Canis lupus familiaris: one gene and its partner. The protein of the gene in region 1 purifies or fractionates together with the protein of each later gene. This does not show direct contact. Links are inferred from orthologs where the notes say so. Each region holds a gene or a part of one and is shown in the gene's direction. Other genes may lie near its edges. The genes, in order: FTSJ1 and WDR6.

What was found.
Region 2: the proteins of FTSJ1 (region 1) and WDR6 purify together in Homo sapiens (affinity purification with mass spectrometry; 3 studies listed by BioGRID and IntAct, with this or other methods). This does not show direct contact. The link is inferred for Canis lupus familiaris from reciprocal best matches to the Homo sapiens genes FTSJ1 and WDR6.

Annotation. Positions count from the first base shown.
Region 1 is NC_049260.1:41,935,111-41,942,665, forward strand, and holds the end of FTSJ1 (putative tRNA (cytidine(32)/guanosine(34)-2'-O)-methyltransferase), read left to right. Parts: intron 1-58; coding exon 59-112; intron 113-199; coding exon 200-302; intron 303-405; coding exon 406-489; intron 490-1,085; coding exon 1,086-1,189; intron 1,190-1,286; coding exon 1,287-1,535; intron 1,536-1,706; coding exon 1,707-1,739; 3' UTR 1,740-1,748; intron 1,749-3,754; 3' UTR 3,755-4,355; downstream 4,356-7,555. UniProt on the Homo sapiens protein: Methylates the 2'-O-ribose of nucleotides at positions 32 and 34 of the tRNA anticodon loop of substrate tRNAs. Requisite for faithful cytoplasmic translation.
Region 2 is NC_049241.1:40,559,922-40,568,093, reverse strand, and holds the start of WDR6 (WD repeat-containing protein 6), read left to right. Parts: upstream 1-3,228; 5' UTR 3,229-3,369; coding exon 3,370-3,469; intron 3,470-8,172. Other genes in the region: P4HTM (transmembrane prolyl 4-hydroxylase), read left to right, coding at 125-287, 844-1,029, 1,726-1,816, 2,025-2,148, 2,638-2,858. UniProt on the Homo sapiens protein: Together with methyltransferase FTSJ1, methylates the 2'-O-ribose of nucleotides at position 34 of the tRNA anticodon loop of substrate tRNAs. Required for the correct positioning of the substrate tRNA for methylation.

The DNA of each region.
Region 1 (7,555 bases):
AGTTTGGACCCCTCATGCCTGTCTCCACCTCAGCCTTAGCCATTTGTCCTGCCCACAGGCTCTGAATATTGCTACACATGTCTTGAAGCCAGGGGGATGCTTTGTAGCCAAGGTGAGCATTGGAGGACCTGGTGAGGGCAAAATAAGGGTCCTCCAGGGCCGCCCTTGTGCCTTCATCCCCTGTCTCCTCGCCCTACAGATCTTCCGAGGCCGGGATGTGACCCTGATCTACAGCCAGCTGCGAGTCTTCTTCTCTAATGTGCTCTGTGCTAAGCCCAGGAGCAGCCGCAACTCCAGCATAGGTCAGTGGGGTGCAACGGACAGGCAGGCAGACACGAATCTTGGGGATGCATCTTGTGTGGGGTGGAGGTAGCAGTCACCCCTCGCTCTACCTTCCACCCACAGAGGCCTTCGCTGTCTGTCAGGGTTATGACCCCCCTGAAGGCTTCCTTCCAGACCTGACCAAACCCCTGCTGGACCATTCGTACGGTGAGAGCCAGAGTTCTGGGCCCCCTCCCTGGGGAGACTCTACCCCCTTATGGAATGTATGTCTTAGGAGGGCCCTCAGCCCCACCCCTGTATGGATGTTTTGTCCCAGGAGGATCTTCATCCCAGTCTTCTCATGGTTACTCTTGGGTCCCAAGTCCTGCCCCAGTGGAGATTACGCCCACCTAAGTTTCTAGCCTAAGAAGACTGGGTCACGCACCCAGGTGGATACTCCACCCCTGCATGGGAATTTGGCCTCGAGAGAGTCTTTAGCCTGGTCCCTAGAGGGAAAAGGCACAGAGCCTGCTCTTAAGGTGAACACACTTGAGTGAGACAGGGTTCAGGCAGCTTATGGTAGAATGGCAGGTGAACATAAGGCGCAGTGTGAGAAGAGCAGGAGAGGGGGATGCTCTAGAACAGGTGATCTTGGAGGGGCTCCCTGAGGAGGTGATCTGAACAAAATGAAGGATTTCTGGTGGAGGAGTGTGAGAGTAGCTGGTAGGTACATAGGAAGGATTCTGTACCCTTGCTGTAGAAGGAGTCCCAACTGGTCCCAGGCATCCCAGTCCTGTCCTGTCTTATTTCTCCCTGCTTGTCAGATCCAGATTTCAACCAATTAGATGGTCCCACTCGCATCATTGTGCCATTTGTGACCTGTGGAGACCTGAGCTCCTATGATTCAGACCGCAGTTACCCACTGGACGTGAGTGCCCAACCAATAGTAGGCAGGGGATGGCGGGGTAGAGGGGCTCTCCTGGGTTCTCATATCCTCACCATCTTCCCCCAATGTGTCCCTGCAGCTAGAGGACGGCTCAGAATATAAGTACACTCCACCCACGCAGCCCCCCATCTCGCCACCGTACCAGGAGGCCTGCACGTTGAAGAAGAAGGGGCGGCTGGCCAAGGAGCTCCGCCCCCAGGACTGCCCCATCAGCACAGTGGACACGCTGTCCCAGCCCCTGGCGGCCCCACAGCGCCACACCCTGCTGGCCCCTGAGGTCCGGAAACCTGTGGCCCAGGGCCCTCTGTGCCCTTTCTCTGAGCCCACAGTGAGCCCCTCTTAGTGTACCTCTCTCTGTCCCCAAATGGCGTGGTTCTGGGGCAGGGTAGAATGCTCATCCCTGCCTCCCAGCAACTATAAAAAGTTGATGGGTAAAACCAAGTGTAATGAATGGAAAAGCTTGGCAAGTACCTGAGTCATTTTTCTTTTTCTTGGGTAGGTGGAAGACAGTGAAATGAATTGTTCGCCTTAATACACTCAGGTAAATTTGCCTTTTTAGCTAATAGTTTGAGTGAAGAGCACCTTTAAGAAAAAAACTCAGGAAAATTTCACCTTTGAAATGTTTATATCAACTGATAAGATTTCAGTCAGCCCACCTTTACTAAGTACCTGATGTCACATGCCAAGAACTGCTTTCAGTGTTTTAGGTATGGAGGCATTCAGCAAACTGTTTCTTTTTTTTTTTAATTAATTAATTTATTTATTTATGATAGTCACACACACAGAGAGAGAGAGAGAGAGAGGCAGAGACATAGGCAGAGGGAGAAGCAGGCTCCATGCACCGGGAGCCCGATGTGGGATTCGATCCCGGGTCTCCAGGATTGCGCCCTGCACCAAAGGCAGGCGCCAAACCGCTGCGCCACCCAGGGATCCCAGCAAACTGTTTCTTAACCACACGCTGTGTGCCAGGCATTGTTCTAGTTTGGGAGATAAAGCAGGGAACAGAACAGGCAAATATTCTGGTGCTGGTGGAGCTTCCAGATTGGGAAAGGGGTAATAAAAACAGCTTATGAATGCAGGAGTTTCTACACACGGCATACACATAGATACATTATATATGCATACTTGTACACATACACATTTCTAGCTTTCATTTCAGTATATATAGCTTAAATTATACTGTAGATATAAAGGTATATTTATATATATATCATATATATATGTAAAGGTAATAAGGGATATAAAAATTTTTTTAAAGATTTTATTTATTTATTCATGAGAGACACACAGAGAGGCAGGCTCCATGCGGGGAGCCTGATGTGGGACTTGATCCCGGGTCTCCAGGATCACACCCTGAGCTGAAGGCAGATGCTTAATTGCTGAGCCACCCAGGCATCCCAAGAATTATTTTTAATAAAGTAAGGTAAACAGAATCAGGAATTTCAGGGGTGGCAGTTTTTCAGTTTTTAAATGGGTTATCATGGAAGGGCTTACTGAGGTAATGTTTGAGCCAAGACCTAAAGGAGGTGAGGGAGGGAATGCATGTGTTCATCTAGGGGAAGAATGTTCCACGGAGAGAGAGTAGCAAATGCAAAGATCCTGAGGTAGAACTATGGCTGGTGTGTAAGGGAGTAGCGAGGGGCCAGTTCTGCTCCTAAGAAATAAGTACCAGAATTCTTCACTGGCACTATTTGTACCCTCAGGCTAGATATAGCCCAAACATCTATTAACTGCAGAGTGGATCATTAAATCATGGTATATTCACAGTGGGGAATTACACAGCAATGAGAATGAACATACTACAATTATGAAAACACCTTGTCAGTCCTTAAACTGAACCTATATAAAACATGTAAGTGTGTATTTTTCTGTATGTTACAGTTCACAATAGAAGTGGTAGGGGGGAAGGTCAAAAAAATGTTAGTACTGGGGCACCTGGGTGGCTCTGTCAGTTGGGCATCTGCCTTGGGCTCAGGATGATCCCGGGGTCCTAGAATCAAGCCCCACAATCAGGCTTCCTGCTCAAGGCGGAGGCTGCTTCTCACTTTGCCTCTCCCTCTGCTTGTGCTCTCTCTCTGCCTGTCAAATAAATAAATAAAATTTTTTTAAGTTTTTAAAAATTTTTTATTTATTCATGAGAGACACAGAAAGAGAGGCAGAGACGCAGGCAGAGAGAGAAGAAGCAGGTTCCATGAAAGAAGCCTGATATGGGACTCAATCCTGGGACTCCAGGATCACGCCCTGGGCCGAAGGCAGACACTCAACTGCTGAGCCACCCAGGGGTCCCAAGTACTGACATTTCTTTAAAGATTTTATTTATTGGGATGCCTGTCTTCAGCTTAGGGCATGATCCCAGGTCTGGGAATTGAATCCTACATCAGGTTCCCTGTGGGGAACCTGCTCCCTCTGCCATTGTCTCTGCCTGTGTGTGTGTGTGTGTTTCTCATGAATAAATAAATAAAATCTTTAAAAAGAAATGTTAGTAGTTGAGTGAAAAATAATTATGGGAGAATGTATGTTTAAAATTTTCTCTGTCCCTGATTTTAGGTAGCTGGCAGTCTACTACAACCCAGAAGCTGTTTGGCGACAGGAAAACGAAAGAACTTACATTGATGAACTCATTTTCAAATATCTCATCAACGGGTCCTGAACATTCAAGCCCTGAATGGTAACCCACAACAACTAGCAGGAGCCCAGCAAGGAAAGCAACAGCACAGTATGCCTGTCTACACCACAGAGGGGATTTTTGAGCGAGGCCTTGCCTCCTTTCTAAATCTTTCCAGAGGTGTCCTGATTATTTCTAGAGTTTACCCCCAAAGTAGGGGTTCTTCACCGTATAGAAATCAGGGGTATCTGTGAACCTGATGGAGGAAAATCTTACATCTTTATTTTCACTAATATAACTGAAATTTCACTAATATAACTAAAATTTAGCTTTACTCCCCAATAGGAATACTGGCAACAAATCACAATAGTAAAAGCAGTGCCTGTTACCTTTTACCTTCCCACCAATACAAATTAGTTACTTTTTATGTTCCATTACAGTTTTTGCAGGCATCTTAAGATGCTGTTCACGTTTGGCACTACTTTGACTTATAGAAGATCTTATAATTTGATGTACTAATAAAAAAGTCCATATATTACTGTATGCCAGTGTTGTTTCATTTTAATATATATAGTAATATTTGTTCTCATTAACATAAGACATAAATTTAAAGTATACAACCTAATTCAATGTATACTTATTGCAGAATGATTACAGTAAGTTAATATGCATCACCTCACAGAAATTTTTTCCTGTGATAGGAACTTTTAAGATCTCTCTCTCTTCTCTCTTTTTTTAAGATTTTATTTTATTTATTCATGGGAGACACAGAGAGAGAGGCAGAGACATAGTCAGAGGGAGAAGCAGGCCCCCTTGTAGGGAACCTGATGCGGGACTTGATCCGGGGACTCCAGGATCATGCTCTGAGCTGAAGGCAGACACTCAAATGCTGAGCCACCCAAGTGTCCCAAGATCTCTCTCTTTTCTAAATATTTTATTTAGCCATTTGAGAGAGAAAGAGTGCAGGGGTGAGGAGGGGGAGAGAGATAAGAGCAGGCTCCCTGCTGAGCAGGGAGCCCGACACAGTGCTCGATCCCGACACAGTGCTCGATCCCGGGACCACGCCAAGACCACAACCCAAGCCAAAGACAAGCCCATCTGACTGAGATACTCAGGCATCCCCAAGATCTACTCTCTTAGAACCTTTCAAATATATGATCTGGATAATCATAGTCACTATCCAGTACCTTACAGCCCTAAACTTATAACTTGAAGTTTGTACCTTTTGACCACCTTCACCCATTTGACCCCTGCCTCTGGCAACCATCGATTTATTGTCTGTTTCTAGGAGTTTGGGCTTTTTTAGATTACACATACAAGATCTTCACTTCATAGTATTTGTCTTTCTCTAACTTATTGCACTTAGCACAATGGACTTGAGGTCCATCTGTCTCACAAATGGCAGGATTTCCTTTCCATGGCCAAGTAATCTTCTATTGTATATATAAATACATATACCACACTTTATCCATTCATCTGTCGACAGACAAGTAGTTTTTTCTCATATCTCTGCAACAAGAACCCCTATAAGCGATGTCAGAAAGTCTGCCTTGACTGCAGTGCTGAATTTCTACAAGTTAGCCAACAGGAGCTGCCAAGCTCACCAGCTACACAGGCAGAACTAGTTTCTGTAGCTTACACCTGTGTCTAGAAACACATTCTCTTTTTTTTTTTTTTTTTTTTGGTTAGAAACACATTCTCTGTGTACACCTCAATTTGGTGACCTCAGGACCACCCACATCCCAGTTGGTGACCCTAGATGTCTCTGTCCTTGACGGTGTGAACCTGGGCATGTCCATACTGAGTCTATAACGCTGGATGTTGGGGATGGGGCACACTACACAATGTCAAACCAGGAGTCTTCTCACCCAAGCAGTGTGATTCTGGAAATGTATAACAGAAGTATCTGCGCAAAAGCCTACATGGCCATGGCATATCTGTACCTATTACCATGTAAATTCAAAGTGTCCACACTAGAGGCTGAGGCCCCAGGAGTAGCCAACTAAATCTCCAGGAGTATAAACACACCAGCCCTTGAGACCCAGCAAATACCCACATATCAGGTTTTGTGTCCATAATCGCATCCAACCCCATCTGTATGATATCTGGCATATACACACAAGTCCCTGTGATGGGAATAATTTCCAATCCCCAGACTGTGTGACCCAGCAGTGTCCCAAGCCCTGAATGTGTGGCCCAGGAAGGGCCAGCCTAACTCAGTTTCAGTCTCCCAACTTTGGGAGCACCCTGTCTGGCTCTGAGTTTGGATACCATACCCTTGCAACTCCACATCCCTCCATGTGACCCCTGAATTTTCCACACCCAAGTCAATTTGTCTACAGAGGCATGTGTATCCCATACCATGTGTCCCCAGTTGAGCATTTACCATAGTCTGAGTGACCCCTTGTGTGTCCTTAGGAGCACACCCCTCATCTGTGTTACCACAGAATTGTTCACACCCTAGTCCATCACCATAGGCCCAGTCGTTGTCCCCTGGGAGTGATCCTTCTTCAGACTTTGAAATGCCAGAAGTGTCCACACCAAGTCTGTGTAATCCCAGGAGGGCCCACAGCCAGCCTGTTTCTCCAGAAGTCTCCACACAATAGCTTGTCTGTGTAAACCCAGGATGATCAACTTTCTACGTGACCATGGGAGAAGCCACAACCCCGTCTTTGTGTCCTCAGGGTGGCATACCCTTAGCCACCCTGATTCCTGGGGTTTTTACACCTTAGGCTATGTGATCAAATAAGTCTCCATGCCCCAAGCTCTGACCACCAGGGAGTCACTCCCTAGTCGCAACTCTAAAGGGCTTTCCACACCTCAATCTCTGTGGCCCCAAGTCCATTCACTACATTGCCTGCGTGGCCATGGGAGTTTCCACTTCCCAGTCTGGGTGACCCTAAGAGCAGCCAAACTCTTGTCTGTATGATCCCAAGAGTGTCTATATCCCAAAGACTGTGAGCAGGGGAGTGTCTACACTTCAGTACAAACACTTTCTCTTCCTTCTCTTCCTTGTCTCTGGGACCACAGATGAGTCCTGGCTGTGTCCACATCCCAGTGTCTGACTACAGAAACGTCCAGAGCCCAGCCCATGAGGATGTGTCCCACGATCAATGTGAGTCCAGAAGTGGCATCAGCCCAGTCATTGTGACCACAGGAGTTTCCATATCACAGTCGGGGGCACCATGAGCTCATGTGTGGCAAACTGTGGTCACAGAGGTGTCCATACTCCAGTCTACGGGACTCCACACATGTCCACGGCTCAGTCTGTGATGTTCTGGGAGTGGTTTACACCAGTCCAGCCACTTCAGGAGTGTCCATTCCCCAGTCTCCATAACCTGTGAGTGTCCACACCTCCATCTTTGTGACAGAAGCAATGTCCAATTCCAACTCCGTTGTCCAAACCCCACCGTGTTGTCTATACCCCAGCCTGTATGGCCTCTCAAGGGTGTAGTCCCATCAGTAAGACCACAGTAGTAGGAAACTCCTGTGCCTGGGAGGCCTGGTAGGTCCATACTCCAGTCTGGGTAACCCAGGGAGGACATTCCCACATCTGTGTGACCAAATAAGTCTCCACACCCCCGTATCTGTGACTCCAGGGTAGACAGTTTCCCATTCCATGTGAAAAGAAGAGTACCCACGCCAAATTCTGTGTGACCACAAGGGTGCCCATTCCCCATCTGTGTGTCTCGAGAGGCATCTTTGTTCCAGTTGGTGCGATTCCAGCAGAGTCGACACCACAA
Region 2 (8,172 bases), on another chromosome or scaffold:
TTCAGGTTGGGGGACAGGTGCACTGCCTTTGGTGCCTGAAGCCAGGGGTAGATAGGATGCTACAGCCTGCCACCGTGGCCTCCGTACATGGGTTTGCGGGCACTGATGATGGTGCCCCATGCAGGAGTGCTGAGCCTGCAGGAGTTCTCTGACATGGACCTTCGAGACTTCCACAAGTACATGAGGAGCCACAAGGCGGCCTCCAGCGAGCTGGTGCGGAACAGCCACCATACGTGGCTCTACCAGGGCGAAGGTGCCCACCACGTCATGCGCGCCATCCGCCAGAGGTGAGCACCGCAGCAGGAGCAGGTCTGGTGGGGCCCACACAGAAGTTCTTGGTTGGGGCCAAGGGGACAGACTTGGTTAGCCAACTCAGGATTAAGTTCTACTTGTTAGACCGGGATTAGGATCCATTAAAAGACAGGCAATTAACAAAGGCAAATTAACCCTAATTGTGGGCAAACAATATACATTTGGGATTAGAAATAGATTGCAATGTTTGTTTTTCGCTAATTAGAGAAATGACGTCTTATCTCTGTCCACAGGCCCCCCTGCCCTTGAGCAGCCAGGGGTTTTAGATAAGCAACCTCCTTCCTGGAGGGAGTGACCCCCACTCCCAATTTAGTGGAAATCTCATCTTCCCCACCCAACGCAGTCTCTGGCATCCAGGGAGAAGGGCTCATGAGTAACCCCTTCCTGCTCCTACCGGGCCAGTCTGGGGTTGATGTCAGGGGCTTTCAGGGGAGTTGGGCAGTGGTAGAGCTGGTGGCAGGTCCGGGGTCTGGCTTCTCCAGGGCACCACCTTGCATGGGACTGCTCAGCTGAATGCCTGCTGTCCACCAGGGTGCTCCGCCTCACCCGCCTGTCACCTGAAATCGTGGAGCTCAGTGAGCCACTGCAGGTTGTGCGGTATGGCGAGGGAGGCCACTACCATGCCCATGTGGACAGCGGGCCTGTGTACCCAGAGACCATCTGCTCCCATACCAAGCTGGTAGCCAATGAGTCTGTACCCTTCGAGACCTCCTGCCGGCAAGTACCTCCCACCTGGGGTGGCCTTCAACTCCCAGACTAGGCATTCCCATGACATAAACACAGCCCTGCCCTACCGGTATACCCCTGGTGTCAGGCCAGGGGAGCGCTGGGCCATCCGTCTGAGGATACCCCATCTTTCCCTGCAGTTTGTTTACCAAGTGGCAGGAAAGGGGTGGCTAAACTAAGGTACCCACAGACAGTAACACTTGTTCCCAGAGCTCTGAGGCATGGGGCAAGGCTGAGTCTCCAGCTTTTTTTGCCCCCCTCTCCCCTGGGTCTTGATTCTTCTCCACTGCTGGAGGCTTCAGCTTCTCTCTTTGAAGCTTTGTCCCCCTTCCCTGCTGAGGCAGGGGGGCAGGTCGGCAGGTCTCTACCCTTCGTGTGACTGCTCTGGGTCAGCCCCTTCTATTCCCAGCCAGCCCTCCTGCATGGTTGTGCTGCTTCTGCTCGCATACCTTTCCCTGCCAGCCATGCAATTTAGCGAAGTGCACCTGTGATCACACAAAACAGTCTGATACATAGAGACTGGGTTTGTGGGAGGAAGGACTGGCTTAGGGACATCTTGGCACTGATGTGCAGTGTTACTGATCTCAGCCTGCCCCTCTTGCCCTTGGGAACCTGGGCAGCTTATCCTGCCCACAGGTAAGCCCGTGGGAGTGTCCACAGCTGCTCAGCAGGCCCCCTGCCTTACAGCTACATGACAGTGCTGTTTTATTTGAACAACGTCACCGGTGGGGGCGAGACTGTCTTCCCTGTAGCAGACAACAGAACCTACGATGAAATGGTAAGGGCCAACCAGGCTGTTACTCTGGTGGGATGGCAAGGCCTTGGGCAATCATAGTATATACCCCTCCAGACCTGGGATGATGCGCCTAAGTGATCCCCTGGGCACTTCTGACTGGTTTCCCTCTGGCCACTTTTGGCTTCCTGGCCCTGGCCCTTGGGCGTACAGTGGGGGCAGTTTGAGAACCCCAGCATCCTGCTGCCCACAGAGTCTGATTCAGGATGATGTTGATCTCCGCGACACTCGGAGGCATTGTGACAAGGGGAATCTGCGTGTCAAGCCCCGGCAGGGCACAGCAGTCTTCTGGTACAACTACCTGCCTGATGGACAAGGTGAGGGCCTGTGGCCAGGCCAAGGGTACCATGAGGGAAGCCTACCCAGCCCAGACAGCCACCCTGGTGGGATGTTTCTGGCACCCCTACAAATGTTCTTCTGTCCCTGGTGCCTCCAAAAGACCATCCTCAGTGACTTCAGGGGCACGCACCTGTGTAGCCTCCTGGGTTACCTTGAGGTCTGTAATGGATTCCGTGATGCTCTAGCCTTCCAGCTCACTGGGGCTGGGGACACATCTGTCATTGACTCAGGCTGTGGACAGGACTAGGAGCAAGAAGGCTGGTTTCAGACCAGTAGTTTTGTCAGTGCATTAGTTGGAGAGAGATACCATGCCCCAAGGAGACCTTGGGGCCAGACTTTGCCCCTACATGTGTGCGCAGCTGGGCCCACCCTGGCCATGCCCTTGGCCCCTATGAGGTCAAGCTCAGGTCAGCACAGCCTAGAGTCCCTCTGGTCCCCTCCTTTGCTCACACCATCCTCCTCTCTAGGTTGGGTGGGCGACGTGGATGACTACTCGCTGCACGGGGGCTGCCTGGTCACACGCGGCACTAAGTGGATTGCCAACAACTGGATCAATGTGGATCCCAGCCGGGCTCGGCAGGCACTGTTCCAGCAGGAGATGGCGCGCCTGGCCCGAGAAGGTGGCGCCGACTCCCAGCCAGAGTGGGCCGTGGACCGGGCCTACCGCGACGCGCGCGTGGAGCTCTGAGGGCAGGGCGGGCCTCAGCCCCCAGCCACAGGCCTCCTGCCGCCCCAGGTCTGGGGACCCGCCGTTCGCCTGTCCAGATGCAGGCCAAAGGCTCGGCCGAGGTCTTGCCCCATCCCGTCTCCAGCCGCGACTAGGGCACCGTTCCTATATTCGTGTTATTTATTGTGTACAGACCCATTATGCCCCCTCCAATAAAACTACACGGCTTTGAGCTGCTGGGCCGCGAAGGCGCAGGTGGGGTCGGGGGCAGGCTGACCCGGCCTGTAGGGGTGGGCCGCAGCGCTCGGCGAGCCTCACGTCAGGGGGAGGGGCGAGGACGCCTTCGCCAATGACGAGCTGGCTTGCGTGGGGCGAAGGGTCGTGATTGGACACCGGCCGCGGGCGACCCTGGGCTCGGCTACCTGTTGCCAAGGCCGCTGCAGATCGGCTCGGCTGCGCGCGAGGAAGGTTCGTCTCGCGAGAGCCCAGATCCCTTCTTGGCAAAGGAAGGCGCCGCGGCTAGAGGATCGTCATGGACGCTCCCGAGGACTACGTTTGGCCGCGGGCAACCTCCGAGCTCATACTGCTCCCGGTCACGGGTCTGGAGTGCGTGGGGGATCGGCTGTTGGCGGGTGAGGTTTGGCTCGAGGCGCGCGCTAGCGGATAAGAACCCGGGCGCTCGCATGGGGCGGGACCATGAGAACAAAGGGATGCCCCTAAGGAGGAGGGCGGGCGGCCGGATGAAGCCCGACCGAGGTGGGCGGGAACCCAGGAGATGGGCTGGAGACCCGGCCGGAGGGGCCCCAAAGGAAAAAAAAAAAAAAAACCAACCCGATGTGGCTGTCGAGTTCCTTCACAATCTGCATCTGACATGGAAAGGGCGGTGGGGCCGCGGGAAAGCACGGGGAACCGCAGTGGCTTGGGAGGCGGGGAAGAGAGGGAGAACGGTGTGTGGCCCCTTCCGGGAGCGGAGCTGGTAGGTTGGAGGTGAGCCCCCTCAAGGTTGGGGAGTTGGGAGGGGAGGGTCTGTGGTGTGGCATCTGGGGAGGGTGGGGGTGGGCGGGGCCCGGTAGACGGGGCTCTGGCCTCCGAGGGGCGGGTGAGGCTTCTCCTTGGAAGGTGATTATGACGAGGATGGGTGGCGGGAAACCAGGAAACCAAGGATGAAACCTTTCCGATTGGGCCAGTGGCTGCGGAGGCAGACCCCGAGGCCTCTTCTGAGATAGTTGCATCCAGGGAATCCAATGTTGATGGCCTTTCGCGGAAGGTCAGGTCGAGAAGCATGGGCCATCTGAAGCAGCAGAACCCTGGAGAGCATCGAGGACCGAATGGAAGCCACTAGTTACTGATGGTGGTGCTGCTGGGTCTTTTAAGGTTCCTGAGGCAGGACATTGACTCTCAAGCCTTGAATGAGATTCCTATCCTATGGGGGGGGGGGGGTGTGGTTTTTTTTTTTTTTTTTTAAGATGTTATTTACTTATTCAAGAGAGACACACAGAGGGAGAGGCAGAGACATAGGCAGAGGGAGAAACGGGCTCCATGCAGGGAGCCTGATGTGGGACTTGATCCCAGAACTCTGGGATCACGCCCTGAGCCAAAGGCAGACGCTCAACAGCTGAGCCACTCGGCGTCCCCTGAGAGAATGGTTTTGTGCAAGAGGAGGGATCTGGTGTGGGAGCTCTGGGAGTCCAAGGTTCCTATCATGGGTTAGACTTCTAAGGCTCTTGCAGAAGGGGATAGGTAGGCAGAAACCCAAAGAATCACAGGAATGAGCTAAGAGAAGAGAAGAGGTGAGTTCTTGGTGAGGATAAGCCTGCTAAAGGCCTTGATGCTGATAATTTGTTACTTTGGGGAAGAGAGGGAGTTCCTGGGAGACTGAGCAGGAGTGGAGTCTGGGAGAAGAGGCTGGAGAAATGAGCAGAGGCCAGATTGTTTTATTTTATACCTAGATCTGACTTAATGGTGGGTCGTGGAGAGAGGCCCTTTGAAGGGTTTTAAGCAGGGAAATGATTTAGGAAATGCGGGTTAGAAAGCTCTTCAAGTGAATTCTGCTCCTGTGACTTCCAAAGTGATTTTTATATTTTTACAATTCTCAGATTCTACCTATGTGCACTTATAATCTCAATTTCCAGCCTTCTTTGTTTATAAGTTCTAGGCCCAAGTGCACAGGTGCTTTAAAATTGAAATACTCCTGCTGGGTACTCCAGCTGAGCAAGGGGAACAACAGCCACCCAGGTGCTCAAGCCCAAGCCACTCCCTCAGTCCTCAAGCCAGTCTGGTTGATTTTGACTACAAAGTTGTGGCATCTGTCTGTTTCTCTACTTATTGCCATCATTCGAGGCTATGCAACTTTGGCTCCTGGACCCCATCAGCAGCATTCTCTTAGTCCATCCCCCAGCCCTTTGTTTCCTATTCCAACCACATGACCTAGAGTTCTTGCTCACCTCCATCAAACTTGCTGTTCCTTTCGTCCAGAAAGGTTCATCCATCTCCCCCGCATGCCTGCTCTTCCTCTGGTTACCACAGCTTATTTATTTCTCAGGGTGGCCTGCCCTGATAGTCACCAAGTCTGCTTAGATGGCACTAGAGTTTCTCAGTCTCTGCACTGTTGATGTTTGGCCCAGGTCTTTTTTTTTTTTTTTTTTTTTTTTTAATTTAAAAAAGGAAACATGAAATTTAATTTAAAGGAAAAAAATAACAGAAATTGTCTGAGAAAACAACAGAGCAAATGAATTCCTGAACAAAGAGTTCTGCATCCTGGGGATCCCTGGGTGGCGCAGCGGTTTTGCGCCTGCCTTTGGCCCAGGGCGCGATCCTGGAGACCCGGGATCGAATCCCACGTCGGGCTCCGGGTGCATGGAGCCTGCTTCTCCCTCTGCCTGTGTCTCTGCCTCTCTCTCTCTGTGTGACTATCATAAATAAATAAAGAAAAAAAAAAGTATTAAAAAAATAAAAAATAAAAAAACAAAGAGTTCTGCATCCTGGTGATCACATTTATTGAAAGAGTTGGGAAAAAAATTAAACACCCTTTAGCTTAAGAATTTTTGAGTTATCTGCAAATCAACTCATTTCAGGAGTGGAAGAATCCTTGGTCATTTCTTAATATCAAAATGAATGCAGGTTTCTCTTTTGATGTCTTCTACATTTAAAGAGGCAATCATACAAAATCTCCTGTATTCCATACACGATAAATTCTTTGTTTCAGCCAACTCTTAATGGAGGAGCAACTAGTACAACACAATCTCCCCAGACAAAAAGCATCGGAATATTCCGTTTTGTTGATTTATATATCTCTTCATATGTTTCTTCATCAATTTCTATAGTAGTCACAGTTTCTTCCACATCTCCCAATATCATATTTATTTATTTATTTATTTATTTTTTTTAAATTTTTATTTATTTATGATAGTCACAGAGAGAGAGAGAGAGGCAGAGACACAGGCAGAAGGAGAAGCAGGCTCTATGCACCGGGAGCCCGATGTGGGATTCGATCCTGGGTCTCCAGGATCGCACCCTGGGCCAAAGGCAGGCGCCAAACCGCTGCGCCACCCAGGGATCCCCCAATATCATATTTAAATGCTGATCATAAGCATGTAATCTGCCTCGAAGCTCTCGGTCATTTCTCAGTTTCACATAAATTCGCTCATCCAGGCTGAGCCTGATGAGATCCAGGGGCTCTTCTACGGTGTTGGTAGTTTGTTGCTGGTCCATGTTGTCTGCCATCTTTCAAACCTTGCACCCTTTCCCCCAGGTCATTTTTTGGGTGAGGGGCTGTCTGTGATTCACAGGACGTTTCAAATCACAGACAGCAAGGCTTCTACTCCTAGATTCCAGTTAACATAACCCAGTTGTGACAACCAAAAATGTCTCCAGATACTGCTAAATGTCTTCTGGAGGGAAAAATCACAGAAGTCGATTTCCCTCTTTTATGTTAAAGCAGCCTGTATAGTTCTTTCTTGGAATTTACCGAAGTTATGTAACAATGTAGTTTATTTGGGTGATACTGTTTATTTACTTATTTATTTTTTAATTAATTTATTTATTTATGATAGTCACACAGAGAGAGAGAGAGGCAGAGACACAGACAGAGGGAGAAGCAGGCTCCATGCACCAGGAGCCCGATGTGGGACTCGATCCCGGGTCTCCAGGATAGTGCCCTGGGCCAAAGGCAGGCACCAAACCTCTGTGCCACCCAGGGATCCCGGGTGATACTGTTTAGCTTCTGCCTGATGATCAGGAGCCTTGGGTCTGTGTTTGTCTTACTCACTACCCAGCGTGTAGTTCCTTGTCTGGTGTATAATCGATGCTCAGTGAATGTCAAGTGTGGAAAGATGGAGATTGCAGGCTCAGAATGGCATGAGAGACTATTAGTGTCATCTCAGGTTAAGATCTCAGGTTAAAAGGTTGATATCCTAGGGATGCCTGGGTGGCTCAGCGGTTGAGCGTCTGCTCAGGGTGTAATCCCAGGGTCCTGGGATTGAGTCCCAGGTCGGGATCCCTGCATGGAGCCTGCTTCTCCCTCTGCCTGTGTCTCTGCCTCTCACTCTATGTCTCATGAATAAATAAATAAAATCTTACAAAAAATAAAGTAGTTTAGGGATCCCTGGGTGGCGCAGTGGTTTGGCGCCTGCCTTTGGCCCAGGGCGTGACCCTGGAGACCTGGGATCGAATCCCACGTCAGGCTCCCTGCATGGAGCCTGCTTCTCCCTCTGCCTGTGTCTCTGCCTCTCTCTCTCTTTGTGTGACTATCATGAATAAATAAATAAAATCTTTAAAAAAAAAAAAAAAGTAGTTTCAATTAAAAAAAAAAAAAGAAGTTGATATCCTGGACCACAATCAGTGTGGTGAGGAGGATTTGCAAAATCTTTAGAAAATGAGCACAGGGGACTTGGAGACTGAGAACATGAGAAGATGTGGAAAGCTTAGGGGGGAATAAGCCATGATCTTCCTGGTTTGAGGCTGGGGCTGGGGCTGGGGCTGGAGCTGAGTAGAGGCTGGTAACAGTCAATGGAGTGAGCAGTGGAGTGAAAAGCATTGAGTAAGAGGGGAGAAAAAAAAAAAAAATCAACAAATTCACCAGGCAGCCAGAAGGCAGTTGAGGGTCATGGGAGCCTTGGCTACCGATGTGGGGGCCATCTCTCCTGGTTTTTCATGTCAGTGTTGAATATGCTCACATCTGAGCTGTATGGAAGAAGCTCTTGGAAATCCAGAGGGGTTCTGTTATGTCCCAAACATGGGAGGATCACCTTTGAGGACCCCCTCTTCCCTAGGGGAGGGAGGGTGGGAAGAGTGCATAGAGGCAGATGCCATTGCAGATTTGGGATGAAGACTGCGA